Diceros bicornis minor: one gene and its partner. The protein of the gene in region 2 purifies or fractionates together with the protein of the main gene of each other region. This does not show direct contact. Links are inferred from orthologs where the notes say so. Each region holds a gene or a part of one and is shown on either strand. Other genes may lie near its edges.

Region 1 (8,124 bases), on a different chromosome or scaffold from region 2:
CCAACTTTTCTACCATGCACTACTGGTATCATAGAAGTTGAGGAAGATGCATGTTCTAATTAGAATAATCCACCTCTCAGACTGTTCTAAAAGTAATGCTCACATGAAAATGATTTATAATGAACCAGAATAGCAGGCAAGTCACAATAAAGAACATTCTCCAACATGCAACGCATTAACATTTCCAAATAGAAAACACTGTTCTTTTAACACCAAAATAAGCCTCAAAAATCACATAAATGTAAACTGTATTCTTTAGTACCTCACACATGAATTTCTGCCTGTTTTTGTTCCCCACTGCTCTAATTTCATAGGATGGGGTCATCTTCCTTTTGCCACACCAGGCATACAGAAAATTTTTAACATCACCCATGTTTCAAATATCTTCTTCAGACCTAAGAAAACAATAGTTAAAAACAGCATTATTTATAAGAGCAAATATTGGAAATTACCAATCTGGAAATAAACAATAAGTGAGATTTACTGAAAATCCAGGTTAAGTACAGGATATTCTATCATGCTGCTATTAAAATCACCTATGAGGAAACTTTAAAGACATGATTGGAAAGTTCATGACACATTACAAGAAGGAGCAGGCTACAAAACTGTAAGATCTGAACTATGTAACAAGTATATATGCATAAATCAAGACTGGAAAGAAATATGCCCCAAAATGGTTATCTTTGGGTGACTATGAGTGATTTTTATCTTTTCTTAAAAAATATTTGACGTAATGTACTCCCCCATATTTTTTTTTTTTTTTTTTTTACAATAAGCATCTTACGTGTCTTAATTCACTTAATTCTCACAACGATGGAAGACAACATTACATGGTAGATACTATCATCATCTTTTACAGAGGTAGAAACTAGGGCATAGAAAGTTTAAGTAACTTTTCCCAGTCACTCACTTGTGGAGGCCTAAATTCAAATTCAGAGTGCCAAGTTGGCACTCTCCCTCTACTCCAGTTTATAAGATACCAAAAGACATGGTGCCTATGAATCTAAAATCTGAGTCTAATTTACAAGATACCTGAGACCAAATTTAGAACCAATGAAAATATGCTATGAATTTGGTTTGCTGTGAGAAGAAATCCCATTACTAACATTAAACTTTGGTCTTCTGTTAATGTTTAGTGTATTTTGTTAGCACCAAAGTCTAATGTCATCAAACTGGACCCTAGCATAAACTTGTTAATAAGTTTATTCTGCAGCCAGAGGCTAATCCTGGGGACATCCTATTAACTGAAAAGCTACGGAAAGCTGAAGATGTCTATCTATAAACTCCACTCCTGAATAATTAATTCAAAAAACAAGCCCTCAGGGTGAATGAGTAACATGAAATATGAAGGACTACACTATCTAATTCCTTCCTCCCTAGGTAGTTTCATCTAACTCTGTAATATTCAGTATCAAGTATATGCTAATGATGCCCAAACTGATATATATTGAAAATTCAGTCTTTTCTCTTCAAATTTCAAAATCAAGTTTATCTAGGCGCCGGCCCATGGCATAGTTCAGTGGTTCAGGTCCCTGGCGTGGACCTACTGTGGTAGTGTCCCATATACAAAACAGAGGAAGACTGGCACAGATGTTAGTTCAGGGACAATCTTCCTCAAGCAAAAAGAGGAAGACTGGCAACAGATGTTAGCTCAGGGCCAATCTTCTTCACCAAAATAAAACAAAAACAAAAACAAAAAAAGGAAGACTGGCAACAGATGTTAGCTCACGGCTTATCTTCCTCAGCAAAAACATTTTTTAAAAAATCAAGTTCATCCAACTGCAGCACTAACATACCCAGTTGAATGCTAATTTGGCATCTCAGTCAAAACAGAATTTTAAAATTCCTCCCAAACCTCTTCCTCCTCCCCCTAATCCCAGTGTTCCCATCTCCTTAAATGGCACCACCATCCACTCACGTCACAATCTGGGAGTCATCCACTCCTTCAAGATCCTCCATAGCTATCCCTTGTGGAGCCCTTTCTGTGTACCAGACAGTAAGAATCCTGAGGATCATCTACATGAACTATTTTACTTAACCCTTACAACAACTGTATAGATACGCATTATTATCATCCCCTTTTTACAGATAGGTAAACTGAGACAAAGAATAACTTGCCCAAAAGACAGAGCTCTAAGTGGGGGACCCAGAATTCCAAACCAGATAATCCGACTCCTGATCTACTACGCAATTCTGCCTCCAAAACATGTCTCTAATCCATTCGCTTCTCTCCATCTCCCCTGCCACCGCTACTGCACACCGGAGTACTGCAATCACGTCCTAAATGACGCCCCCGTTTCTACTCTAGCCACCCTAAAATCCGTTCTTCTCTTAAATCCTCACCACACTCCAGTCACATGGCCTTCTTTCAGCTTCTTTCCAATCCCTGCCTTTAAGCGCTAACTAATCCCTTCTGCCCCTGCAGTTCAGCTTTTCCTCCGCATCTTTACGGCTGACGCCATTCTCGGTCTCAAGGCCGAGATACCAGCTCAAAGGTCGACCTCTTCCAAAACGCCTTCCCTTTCCATCCCACCTAAAGTAGCTCTCTCCCTTTACACGCCGTAATTCCTCTCTCTTCACCGAAACCTGCAGACATTTGTTCTCCTACAGCCCCCACCCCCACCACGACCACAACCTCGGCGAGGGAAGGGCAGGGCCCCCGCCTAACGTGTGCACTGCTCTTCCCACAGCGCCTGCGGGGCAGCGCCCAGTATTTACGGCCTGAATGAATGAATGAAGGGCTCTGGGCGCGTCGGCGTCACGGCGGGCTCACCACCAGACCATTCACCCCCTTTCACTCAGCGGCGACGGCGACAGCGCCACCGCCGCGCGCTGGCCGGAGGAGGAAGTAGGGTCGGGCTGCTTCGGAGACAGGACTGGGAATCGCCGGGCGAAGGACTGGGGGCCACAACGCGGCCCCCGGCGGCGCGGCGAGCAGCACACGACCCGCAATCCGGGCACCCGGCGGGGCGGCTCCCCCTTCCCCCACCCGCCGCCGCCGCCCGCGCTCCGCAACAAAGCCCGGCTGCAGAGCCGCGAGGCTCCACGCCGCCCCAACGGGTGGCAAAGACGTCTTTCTCCTACCGACCTCCGCTTCCTGGTGCCGGAGAACACAGCTCTCTCACGACCGCCCGTGACGCCGGCCTTCCTCACCAACACCCAGCACGCGCACCGCAACTTGCATGGAAGCGGCAGCGAAATGGCTCCGACGGCGGCGCCAGAGGGGCGGGGTCAGTGCACGTACGCATGCGCAGAGCGCGAGGCTGGGCCAGAGGGCGCCCGGAGGGAGGGGCGGGGCCGCAGCAACCTCGCCGCGGGTAGCGTCCCGTCGCCTGGGAGATCCGCGGAGCTTAGCCCGCCGCGCCCCAGTCCCGCTTCTTCTTGTAGTGCGCTAGCTGCCTTTAAACATTTTGGGGAGTTGGGGACCTGTAGCATTTTGATGCTGCAAAATGTTTCGCTTAAGGGGGCCTCTGGTAGATGAGGTCCTTTGAAGCCAGAACTGGAAATCTTAGGTGCTATCTTCACAGGGTTGTTGAGATGATTAAATGAGTCGGCATATGAAGGGGCCTTAGCGCAAGACGTGGCACATGATTGGCGTTCAATAGGTATTGTTATTGTAGTGACTGAGATACTCCAACGCGAAAGTCTCCTGAAAGAGAAATAAGCTCAGTGAAGGCAGGAACCCTGACTGGCTAGCTCGGGCCACTCACCGCAGTGCTTGGCACATCCTAAGTGCCTGGGAAAAACTAGTTTAATAAATGGGTAAAACCTGCAGGGCTGTTTTTGCTTAAATTGGATAGCTTTTTGTCTTCAGAGTCTTTGGAATACTTTGTATCCTTAACTATTATATAGCAGTCACTGTTAAATTTTTTAACTCTAGTTCTTCCCATGAAGGCAACAATACAAAATAGTTCAAGTTGGGTTTGTTCCAGATACTGGTTGTCCCATTATGTGGGCCCATCATACTATCCATCCTTATTTTTCACCTCTTTCATTACGTTTTTTCTTAACTCTTGCTCACAGTAATCAATCCCTTTAACTTGGTTGCTCTTACAATCAAACAGTTTATAATTTACCCATTCTTTTATTTTCTTTATGTGTTTGCTCTCTTCAATTAAGAGTAAAATCATTTGAGGGAAAGACCTTTATCTTTTATTTATTTCGTACCCACCAGGGGAATCAAAGCAGCAGATACCTGAGTTATTTATGATAAGAGACACTCAACTAGCATAAATGGATTGCAAGTGTTTTGTAGTAGGTAATGAACACAGCAAAAGTGTCAGCATATTAAGTGTAAATAAAATATTCAGAGGTGGATCTTTACCTTCCAAGGATTAAGGAAAATTTTATTATTGATTTGGTTCTTTTTTGTGTGTTAGGAAGATCAGCCCTGTGCTAACATCTGCCAATCCTCCTCTTTTTTGTTTTGCTGAGGAAGACTGGCCCTGGGCTAACATCCGTGCCCATCTTCCTCCACTTTATATGGGAGGCCGCCACAGCATGGCTTGCCAGGTGGTGCGTTGGTGCACACCTGGGATCCAAACCAGCGAACCCCGGGCCCCCCACAGCAGAGGGCGAGCACTTAACTGCTTGGGCCACCAGGCTGGCCCGATTTGGTTCTTAATTTAGGCCTTGCACCTGAGACCTAGAGTCCCCAGGGAATTGGCATTACCTTTGTAGGTTGCCCCAGGCAACTAGCACCTCTAAGATCTTCCTTAACATTTGCAGATGAAGCTTCAAAACATGCTCCAGAAATACAGAAAGTTGACAGATTTCAATCCAACTATTAACTGTTCCTAGTATATGACTATCTAGAAAACTACAGAGGTTAGTAAAGCAAGACAGAGCAGTGTGGGAATTTTTTTAAGCTTGGTAAGGAAATAAGTAACATTCTTCCTACCTGAGAATGTGGAACTGAGGCTACAGATCACTCATAAAGATCAAATAATGAAAGGTCTGTTTCAAATGGGTTACTTAACATTTCACATTTACCTTCTTGGCTAGAAATGACTTAGTTCCTGAGTTTGGTAGAAAATAAAGGTTATAAAGATATATCTTAATCTGTAGATTGTATGTGGAAAAAAACTGGCAAAGTTTCTCATATCATTTCTTACTTCTGCCAATCCAACAGACTGAGGCCAAGTTTCTGGCAAGGAGGATGGGATGGTTATAACCGACACTTATGGTTGAAATGGATGATGAGAAATGGAAGAGGATGTTTTGACTCATCACTCTTCCTCTGTTTCTCAAATACACAAAGAGTTGGAGAGGAGGAATGGATTAAGAAAACCTGATGCCAGAACTAGGCTGTAAGCAAGGTCATGATGTCTTGAGGAGGCCAGTGCTGGTGACGTTTGAGCCCACTCAGCGGCTTGTGAACACCAATGACACTTGCGCCCTTCATTGCTCTTGTACTAGCATATACAGTGTTGTACCCAGGCAGGGATGAAGCTTTTCCTTTTTAAAAAAGGTTCACAGAGACTTCCTGACAGCTTGGATGGCTTGACTTCAGACTCTTAGGAAGCTGCCTACGCTGCTGAATAGGCTGAAGTCCACGTAGTCAGGATTCTTCTTGAACCATTACATTCTTTCCACTTCCAAACCCAGAATGAATTAGGTTAAAATTGGTAGGTTTACATTAAGAAGATATAAAAAAGACAAAAGAAGTGAAATTTCAGGGTAGAGAGAAAGGTAGAATTTAGAGACAGAGAGAAGGTGGGTGCTCTTTGCATCCCAGGAAGGTATCCAGTCCAAGTGATCCTGTGGGCCAGACTCTTCTGGTGCTCTTACCAGCGCATCCACGGAACCTGGATGTCAGACAGGATGACGGGAAATATCTATAAAAAATATCCCCTTAAAGGAAAGTTCAAAGGTACAAACTGTAAGGCAAAAAACTAAAGGCATGGATTATATTAAAATTAAGGCTAGGGGCCGGCCTGGTGGCACAAGCCGTTAAGTGCGTGCGCTCCGCTGCGGTGGCCCAGGGTTCACCAGTTCGGATCCCAGGCGTGCACCGACGCACGGCTTCGCAAGCCATGCTGTGGCGGCGTCCCATATAAAGTGGAGGAAGATGGGCATGGATGTTAGCCCAGGGTCAGTCTTCCTCAGCAAAAAAAACAGGAGGATTGGCAGATGTTAGCACAGGGCTGATCTTCGTGATAAAAAAACAAAAACAAAAAAATTAAGGCTATCAGCTCAATAAAAGACACCATGAATGAAGTTAATAGATAGTTGAAAGAGTTGGGGAAGATGTTCATGATGTTTAAGGTTGTCAAGAGATGATTAACTATTCTAAACTATTCAAGGAACTCCTTCAAATCAACAAGAAAAATGTAGCAATCCTCACAGAAAAATGGGCAAAGGCCACGAAGCAGCAATTTTCAGAAGAGGGAAACCAAAAGGTCACTAAGCATATTCAAGGTGCTCAAAAGCATTAGTAACAAGAGAAATGCATTTAAAACAGCAGTCAGATATCACCACATGCCCATTAGATTGGCAAAAATTAGAAAAGTGAATAATGTCAAATGTTGGTGGTGATGTGGGGATATAAGATTCACCACACGCAGCTGGTAAAAAAGTAGACTGGTACAGCCATTCTGGAGAGAAATCTGATACTAGTCAAACAAATTGTTTGGGTGGGTAAAATCAAACAAGTCTGCTCTTGGAGATATATATATACACCTATATATATATTATTGAGATCTATATCAAAGAAATTCTCATGTAAGTCCAAAAAAGAACAGTAAGATATGTTTATTACAGCATTGCTTGAGTTGGCAGGGAGCAGCAATTTGGGTGCTCCTCCCTAGACAGATAAAATGTAGTGGATGTTAACCATGGAATCCAATGCAGCAGAAGAAATGAATTAGATATACACAAACCTTAAAGGCACAGGGATAAATGAAAAGAATAAGGAACAAAATAAGTTATATAACAGCATTTATATAAATAAAAAACAGCAATACATATTTTGCATAAAAAATTGTAAAAGATCACATTAAACACATCAGAATGGATGTCTATCACAGGGGGAGAGGAATGGGACTGAGGAATTATTTAAAAAAGGAGATTCAACAATTCTAGACTCCCTCAGATAGATGTGGAAGATTGTAAATGATAAGGATGTCAAGGACAGACATATGGTCTAATTCCTACTTACATTAACTAAAAGAAATATTTATTGAAAGCATTTTTTTTGTACTAGGCACTGTTCTAGAGGAAACAGCCCTAAACAAGACAGATGAGATCCTTTTCTCATGGAGATTGCTCTTAGAGACTTCCGTGATAGAGCAGCTTTTATCAAACACTCTGAAGGAAGAAAAAAATCAAAAGAAAACAGCTGTTTGAAGCATTAGAAAGCAATCAAGGAAGCTAATATATGTGAGGGGCCAAAATCCTGAGGAAGCAGCAGCAGCAGAGATTTTGTGTCACTTCTCACTTGGAAGTGTGGGAGATCAAAATTTGGCCACCCTGAAATATATCTCTTTACCTTGATTGTTTTCTCTGAAGGACATTTGACCTCCCCCACTAACTGCCTAAAGAATTTGACATGGTGGCTCCTTCCTGGAACAGATCTTCCATCTGATGGCTGTAATATAATGTAAAATAGATGTTACAATAGGAAAGGCACCAACAAGCCCATCTTATCAGAAATTCTGTCTCTCTGGCCACATTCTCTGGATGGCCCTGCGAGGAGTTGCCAGACAAACATTTACATTTATAAGGGAAATCTCCATTTGTAAAGGTATCTCCCTTTCTGTCTTGGGAAGAGGGGGGATGACCTCATTTCTAGAAACTTATCAATGTGGAAGGTGAGGTCTTAAATCTGCATAATAACCTTACCTTTGTTTACAGTGCTTTAGTGGTAATCTCCTGTAACTGACACCCCCCACCCCCAACATCCTCCTTTGTCTTTAGAAGAAGATGGTATTTAAGATGAGAATTTCTGCTATTGTGTTGAGAAACGCGTGTCCCTGCTTTCTCCCATGTATACATGTTATTAAACTTGGTATTATTTTCTCCTGCTAACCTGTCTTGTTGATTATTTGGCCAGCCAGAAGAACCTTAAGGGAAAGGGCAGAGGGAGATTCTCCCTCTTCCCCCGACAGAAGCATTTGCTGATTC
Region 2 (7,069 bases):
GCAATTGTCCTAAACAAGTTTTTAAGACAAATTGTTTTGCAGATATACTGCCATTCTGCCAGTAGATGGTGCTACAAAGGTTGGGGAAGGATTTCCATGAGGACAACAGTTCAGCCACTGGAAAAAAACGTTTAAACCTGCTCTGAAAATACAAAAATGCATTTAGTTTGAGGGTAAAATATAACCCTTATTTGTAACCATTCATTACAGACAAACCAGTAAGAGGGATGAAACTAGGCCATCTGAAAATTTTTAAACAGTTTATAAGAATGAAAACACATGCTTAACACAAACTATTTCTTTAGAACTACACAGTACATACTTTGAAGTAAATTCTCATAGAAAGTAGTGACCAACTATGTCAAGATGATAAGCAAATCGCTTAGTACAAGAGATGGATGCACAGAAACTTTAAAGATTTTAAAAAGCCACATCCACCACTTCAAAAGTTTTGCCTGTAAGGGATAAAATTCAACAAGTCACTAGCAGGGAAACAAACAAAAAAAAAAAAACCACAGGACCTTTTAAACCTTTTAAAAGTTTCTCTTAAGTACACATCAAGAATTGAGAATTAACACGAAAAATTTTCAACTAATATCCCTTAAACGGTACGGAATGGATCCTAGAAAAAAAATGTTAGACATGTACGGTCAAACACAATGATTTATTAAAAATAAAACGTAAAAATGATTTTTGTACATATACTTCCAAATTTCAGGCATGGGATCCAAGTAGATTTCATAGAAAACGCTGTAGCCAGGTATCAAGTCCTTACAACAAAGTAAACTACCCCCCCACCCCAACCCCCGCCCAGGTTTTGCTACAGAATCAGCAAGTTCACTCCCTCCCCCCAAAAAAACACAAATTAAAACAAGACGTTTTGCTAGTATAAAAACGACCAAGGTCCAAGTAATAATAAAAAAATAGAGTCCATCAATGACTGTAACACAAAAATGTGTGTGTGGGGCCGAGTCCATCTTCAGAGGGAGAGACAAGAGGTGGCAGGCAAACAGGGCAACACCCCCAAGAGTAAGCAGCCTCAAAAGAGGCTCCCCCAAGGGCAAATGGGGAAGGCGGTGGGAGGGAAAGGGACTTAGGAATTGACCCTAGTCGGGCTGTCGAAAAGAGCTACCCCTATAGCCGCTCCCAGACATTTTTAAATTTTCTTTAGAAGGAGCTGCCTCCATAGCCACCCCCACCGCCATAGCCGCCTCTGTAAGGTCCACTGTTACTGCGACCGCCCCAGCTGCTGCCGCCGCCGCCGCCGCCGCCGCCACTCTTCATGGGCCCGTAGGAGGACTGGTGCTGGCTGTAGCTGCCGAAGCCGCCGAAGCCGTTACCGTAATCGCTTCCACCGTAGGACGACCCGCCGCCGCCGCCTCCGTAGGCATTGTAGCCGCCGCCGCCGCCGCCGCCGTAACCACCGTAGCTGTTGTAGCCGCCGCCGCCCTTCGACAGGCCGTTCTGGTCTCGACCACCGCCGCGCCCCCGGCCGCCTCGGCCGCCCCGGGAGGACCGGGAGCCGCCTCCGCCCCCTCCGGAGTGGATATCCTCCTTGGGCACGGCCTTCTTCACCTCCACGCGATGACCCTGGATCGGGTGGAACTTGACCACCGCGGCCTTGTCTGCCGCGTCGTGATTCTGAAAATACACGAAGCCGAAGCCGCGCTTCTTGCCGGACTGCTTGTCGGCAATGATCTCGGCTTTCTCCACGGTGCCGAACTGCGAGAAGTGCTCGATCAGGTCGCCCTCGGCCACGTCTCCCTTAAGGCCCCCGACAAAGAGCTTCTTAACCTTGGCGTGGGCACCGGGCCGCGCCGAATCCTCCCGGGACACCGCCCGCTTCAGCTCCACCGTGTTGCCGTCCACGGCGTGGGGCGAGGCGGCCATGGCGGCGTCGGCCTCCTCCACATTGGAGTAGGTCACGAAGCCGAAGCAACGGGAGCGCTTGGTCTGGGGGTTCACCACCACCACGCAGTCCGTCAGAGTCCCGAAGGCCTCAAAGTGGCCGCGCAGGCCCGACTCACTCGTCTGCACGTTGAGGCCGCCGATGAACAGCTTACACAACTGGGAATTCTCCATCTCCAAGGCCCGGGCCTTGCCCCCGCCCTGCGAGCTCCGAGGTTTCGCCGTCGCCGCTATCGTTGCCTGAGGCCTCTTCACAACTTGGGCCCAGCCGTTGCTGGAGCCGCCACCGCCGCTCACCGACGGGGAAGGGAAGAAGGGAAGGGGAGGGAAGGAGGAAAGAAGGAAGGGGGAGGGAAGGGGAGAGGTGCCGGCTAGAGGGCGAGCCGAGAAGACTGGAACACAACCAAGGCCGCCACTACCGCCACCGCCACCTCCGCTCCCCTATCTGGACACCACACAAAGAGGCCGCTGAACGCGCGCGCACCCTCCCCGAGGCGTGCGTCACCGCCGACGTACGGCAGCCCAGGGCTGTCAGCCAATCCCCGCCTCGCTCTCCTTAGTCCCGCCTACCGCGCCGCAGCGCCGCTCTCGGTCACGGACTCCCCGCCCTCCGCAGTCTATTCAAGCCCTCGGCCTCCGCGGCTCCGGCCGCCGGTTGTAGCGCCCCGCTTTCACTCCCGGGCTCCCCAGGGTGCCCTGACGGGGGACTCTCCTTGCCCTCCGCACACCTCCGCGGTTCATTTCCTGCCAGCCTCGCGGCTGTTCCCAGTGATTGTCCCCCTCCCCATGCCATACCCCATGGCCCAACTCCGCAGTGGCGTTCGCGCCAGCCCCTTGAGAGACATATCAGTTCAGCCAATCACCGCGATCCGCTCACACCCACTTCCGTTTTCGGCAGCGGCTGGACGGGCGCGCTCCCCGGTGCGCGCCGGCCCCGGCGTCCCCTGTGTGCAGAGCTTGCATGCCACCCCCACGCCCCCTCCCGCGCGCGGCTTGGTGCGGGGCTGGGGGCGGGGGAGGGAAGAGCGGAGGCGCGCTGGGGGCCGTTCCCAACGGATGCGGCCTGGGGCGTCACGCGCGGGCTTTTTGAAAACTTGGCTGTTGGGGATGGGGGCCTGGATTTACCCGCCGCGTTTGGACCCGGCCGCTACACCTGGCGTCCTCGCCCCTCCCGTCCGCACAAAGATGGAGGGTAGAGCCGTGGTCGGGGAAGGCGGTTAGTAACCGTTTACGGTGGGCCCCACGCGCAGTTAAACTAAAACATTGGCACGTGGCCCTGCGCAAAAGCGAGCCCCAGGCACTATGAAGGACAACCGTGTGCCAAAACCGACTCAGCCTTTCCCACCGAGGTGTGGCGCGAGAGCCCGCCGCTCTTTGGCCGTCCGCGAAGCCCTCCCGCGACGCCCCTCTCAGCGCCCTTCGCGCACTCCGACAGCAGACATTTTCATTTTACCTCAGTAAACACACCACTTTATATGTTTAATTTACGTTATCTATGCGTTGCTTCCTTCCCGACTAAAACGTTTGCCTTTTAAAGGCCTTTTATATCAGACTGGGAGCCGAGGAAGTTAAACACATGAACATTATATACAAATATCATCCACCCTGATAACTGCCTTACAGACCCTCACTCAGGCGGGACTGCATGAGAATTATAACGGCTTCCGTTTATTGCACCTTCGTGCGCCAAGCAAGATACATGGAGGGGCACATAATATGAGACATTACGTGACCCCCAAAACCATGTGGTAAATATTGAAGAAGAGGAATCCCTCGTATCCTGAAGTAGTCAGGAATGACTTGTGAAAGAGGTGGAAGTTGCACTGAACCTCAGAGTCAAAGGCTAAATAAGATTTCTATAGGGCGTTTGAGCAAAATCAGGAGGAAACAAGCTACAGAAGTTTCAAGGGGCAGTGAGCGGACCAGTTTGACGGGAGCAGGAGGTTTTTGATAGAAAATATTAAGAGGTAAGATAGGTTAAGGGTCTTTGATATGGAATATCTTGAATTTTAGATTGAGTTTGAATATTATTCCGAAGGTATACAGATAGGCTACAGGGTTTGGGGACAAACTAGAGTCTGGCTCTACCACTTAGTAACCCTGTGACCATCGAGTTGTGTGACTTTGAGCAAGTCACTTAACCTTTTTTAAAACTTAGTTTTATTATCTGAAAGTCAGAACAATAAAACACCTTCCAAGTGTGGTAAAAATTAAATGAGATTCTGCATGTAAACGCAGAGCACTGTGCTGGCCATAGTAAGTGCTCCATTTATCCAACAAATACTATACCAGGTGCTGGGAATATGGCAGTAAACAATAGACAAAAATCTCTGCCCTCATGGAGCTTATGTTCTAGTGGGGAGAAGCAGACAATAAATGAGAATGGTATATAGCATGTCAGATAGTGATAAGTGCCATTGAAAAATTAAAAGAGAAGGTCAATAGGATGCTCTTACCCTGTTACAAACAAGTCAGATATGTCAGCTTTTGCTAACTGATTGATGACAAAGAATGAGGAAAATAAAAGCACTCCAATGTTTGAAATCTGGGAGTCTAAAATTGCAGCAGGGTAGAATTAGAAAATCTAAGAAAAGAAACTATTTTGGAGGGAGTAGGGGGAGATGATGAACATGGTTGTTAAAGATGATACTGGGATATTCACGGGGCCCTGTTTTCTGGGATGCCCAAGACTATAGCTCGGATAAGAGATTAGACCTTAAGAAATCTACTTTAGAGTCATCCAAAAAATGTTAAAGCAGTAAAAGATGAATTTCTGAAGAGAATAAGACCATAACTTATTTTCCCATCTAAACTAAATTTTAAAGAAATAGTTTTCTCCTACGTTGTTTTAAAATAATCACACCACCTAATTGGGGATCCATTAATTTCTATTGACAAGAAAGCTTCATAGAGGCATATGTCCAGTATAAGCCATGCATATAGAAGAGGGGTAGGGATGATGGGAGACAACACAAGCATGTTTGAGAGACATTTAGGAAGCCAGGATAAATGCAAGATAATTGGAATGTTAGATTCTTTTCGGAGATTAGATTAGTAAAGGTAGGGATAGTGAATAAGAGTGTTATATAAACACTTAAATGATGCAATTTCCTACCCCTCAGACTATTCAGGGAGAAAAACTTTTTTTTTTCCTATTCTACTTTTCGTTGCCTGAGTTTGTTTCTTGGCTTTACCTTACTTACAGGTGTCTCAGCCTTCCAAAACAAAGAAATGTAAAAATGTAACTGAAATTTAGGCAACTTTTGGTTTCCATCCCTCCTACAAGCTTGATTACAAAAACCTAATTGAATGTGGTGGTTACACAACTCATAGAACTGCATATTAAAAAGGGTTTATTTTACCGTACCTAAATTATACTTAGAAAAAGAAAAAGACAGAAAGAGAACAGGAGAAAGGGGGAAAAAACGAACTGAAGAAGAAAAGGAAAACTATCAGCAGCAACTCTGGGTTTTTTTTTGGTCAATTTTCTATTACACCCAAAAGTGTCTTTTTGCAGTTAGGATTATGTTATGGACTGAATTGTGTCTCCCCTCACCCGCCCCCCACCCAAATTCATATGTTGAAGCCCTAGCCCCCAGTACTTCTGAATGTAACTGTAACCAAAAATAAGGTTTTTAAAGAGGTGATTAACTTAAAATGAGGCCATTAGGGTGGGGCCTTAATCCAATATGACTAGTGTCCTTATAAAAAGTGGAAGAGACGCCAAGGGCACATATGCGCAGAAGGATGACCACGTGAGGAGGCAGCAAGTGGGTGGCCGTCTGCAAGCCAAGGAAAGAGGGTCTCAGGAGAATCCAACCCTGCCAGCACCTGGAGCTTGGACTTCCAGCCTCCAGAACTTCGAGAAAATAAATTTCTGTTGTTTAACCCACCCATTCTGTGGTATTTTGTTATGGCAGCCCTAGCAAACTAATACATATTCCATTTTTATGTACTCAAGGTATCTTCCAAAAAGGCACTCTCTGCCAGCTGTGATGAAGTACAATCTTCCTAGTGGACTCTTAAAAACTCACATCAAAAGTTAAAATTTGAGGGGCCGGCCCGGTGGCGCAAACGGTTAAGTGCGCGGGCTCCGCTGCGGCGGCCCGGGGTTCGCTGGTTCGGATCCGGGCGCGCACCGACGCACTGCTTGGTAAGCCATGCTGTGGCGGCGTCCCATATAAAGTGGAGGAAGATGGGCACAGATGTTAGCCCAGGGCCATCTTCCTCAGCAAAAAAAAAGAGGAGGATTGGCGGATGTTAGCTCAGGGCTGATCTCCTCACAAAAAAAAAAAAAAAAAAAAAAAAAAAGTTAAAATTTGACCCATCCTTTTGAACCAGAAATGATGCTTCTGGAAATTTATCCTAAGGAAATAATTAAGGATCTGTGTAAGGATTTAGCTACAAGGATGTTCACTTCAATACTGTTTATACTAGAAAAAAATTGGAAATTACCTAATTGCTCCCAATTAACCAATTACATAAAAAAGGAACTAAATATTCTCTCTAAGAATATTATGAAGCAATTAAATTGATATTGTAAAGGAACAATAATGACGTGTTTGCGTATGAATCTTATGCCATCATGATGATGTGTGAAAGGTCACATTGCTTATTTTACCAAATCAAATTAATTCTGAACTTAATTTGAACCCCATACTTGAACAGAATGGCAAAAATGTAGATTGGGGCTCCTCTCACCCTTTTTCACTCAGAGGCCTTTGCCTCTCTCCCCTTCCCCTCTTTGGCTATCTAAGAGAAATGCCCTCAATAAAATGCTTTTTGTAAAAAAAAAAAAAAAAATAGGCACATGGAGGCTTAGTTTTACAAGTTGCTCCTGAGGCAGCAGAATACACAGACCTATTTAATCTGTGAAGATATTACTTGTATCTTGTTCTACTGCCTGTGTATTCCCTTGCCTCAGGTGCAAAATCCAGGCTTTGAGAAGGGATTTATATTTGTTTCCTTCACTTGAGAGGGGACATCAAAGGAGGAGGGCTTGATGTGAAAAAAGGATAGCTTCCCAAGTCTAGGAGAAGTGACCAGACAAAAGGTACAAACTTCTAGTTATAAGATGAATAAGTCCTGGGGATATAATGTACAGCATGATGATAATAGTTAACAATACTGTATTGTATATTTGAAAGTTGCCAAGAGAGTA

What was found.
Region 1: the proteins of HNRNPA0 (region 2) and DHX9 purify together in Homo sapiens (affinity purification with mass spectrometry; 3 studies listed by BioGRID and IntAct, with this or other methods). This does not show direct contact. The link is inferred for Diceros bicornis minor from reciprocal best matches to the Homo sapiens genes HNRNPA0 and DHX9.

Annotation. Positions count from the first base shown.
Region 1 is NC_080743.1:84,571,485-84,579,608, forward strand, and holds the start of DHX9 (ATP-dependent RNA helicase A), read right to left. Parts: upstream 3,195-8,124; 5' UTR 3,089-3,194; intron 396-3,088; 5' UTR 374-395; coding exon 263-373; intron 1-262. UniProt on the Homo sapiens protein: Multifunctional ATP-dependent nucleic acid helicase that unwinds DNA and RNA in a 3' to 5' direction and that plays important roles in many processes, such as DNA replication, transcriptional activation, post-transcriptional RNA regulation, mRNA translation and RNA-mediated gene silencing.
Region 2 is NC_080740.1:56,395,042-56,402,110, forward strand, and holds HNRNPA0 (heterogeneous nuclear ribonucleoprotein A0), read right to left. Parts: upstream 2,172-7,069; 5' UTR 2,083-2,171; coding exon 1,168-2,082; 3' UTR 810-1,167; downstream 1-809. UniProt on the Homo sapiens protein: mRNA-binding component of ribonucleosomes. Specifically binds AU-rich element (ARE)-containing mRNAs. Involved in post-transcriptional regulation of cytokines mRNAs.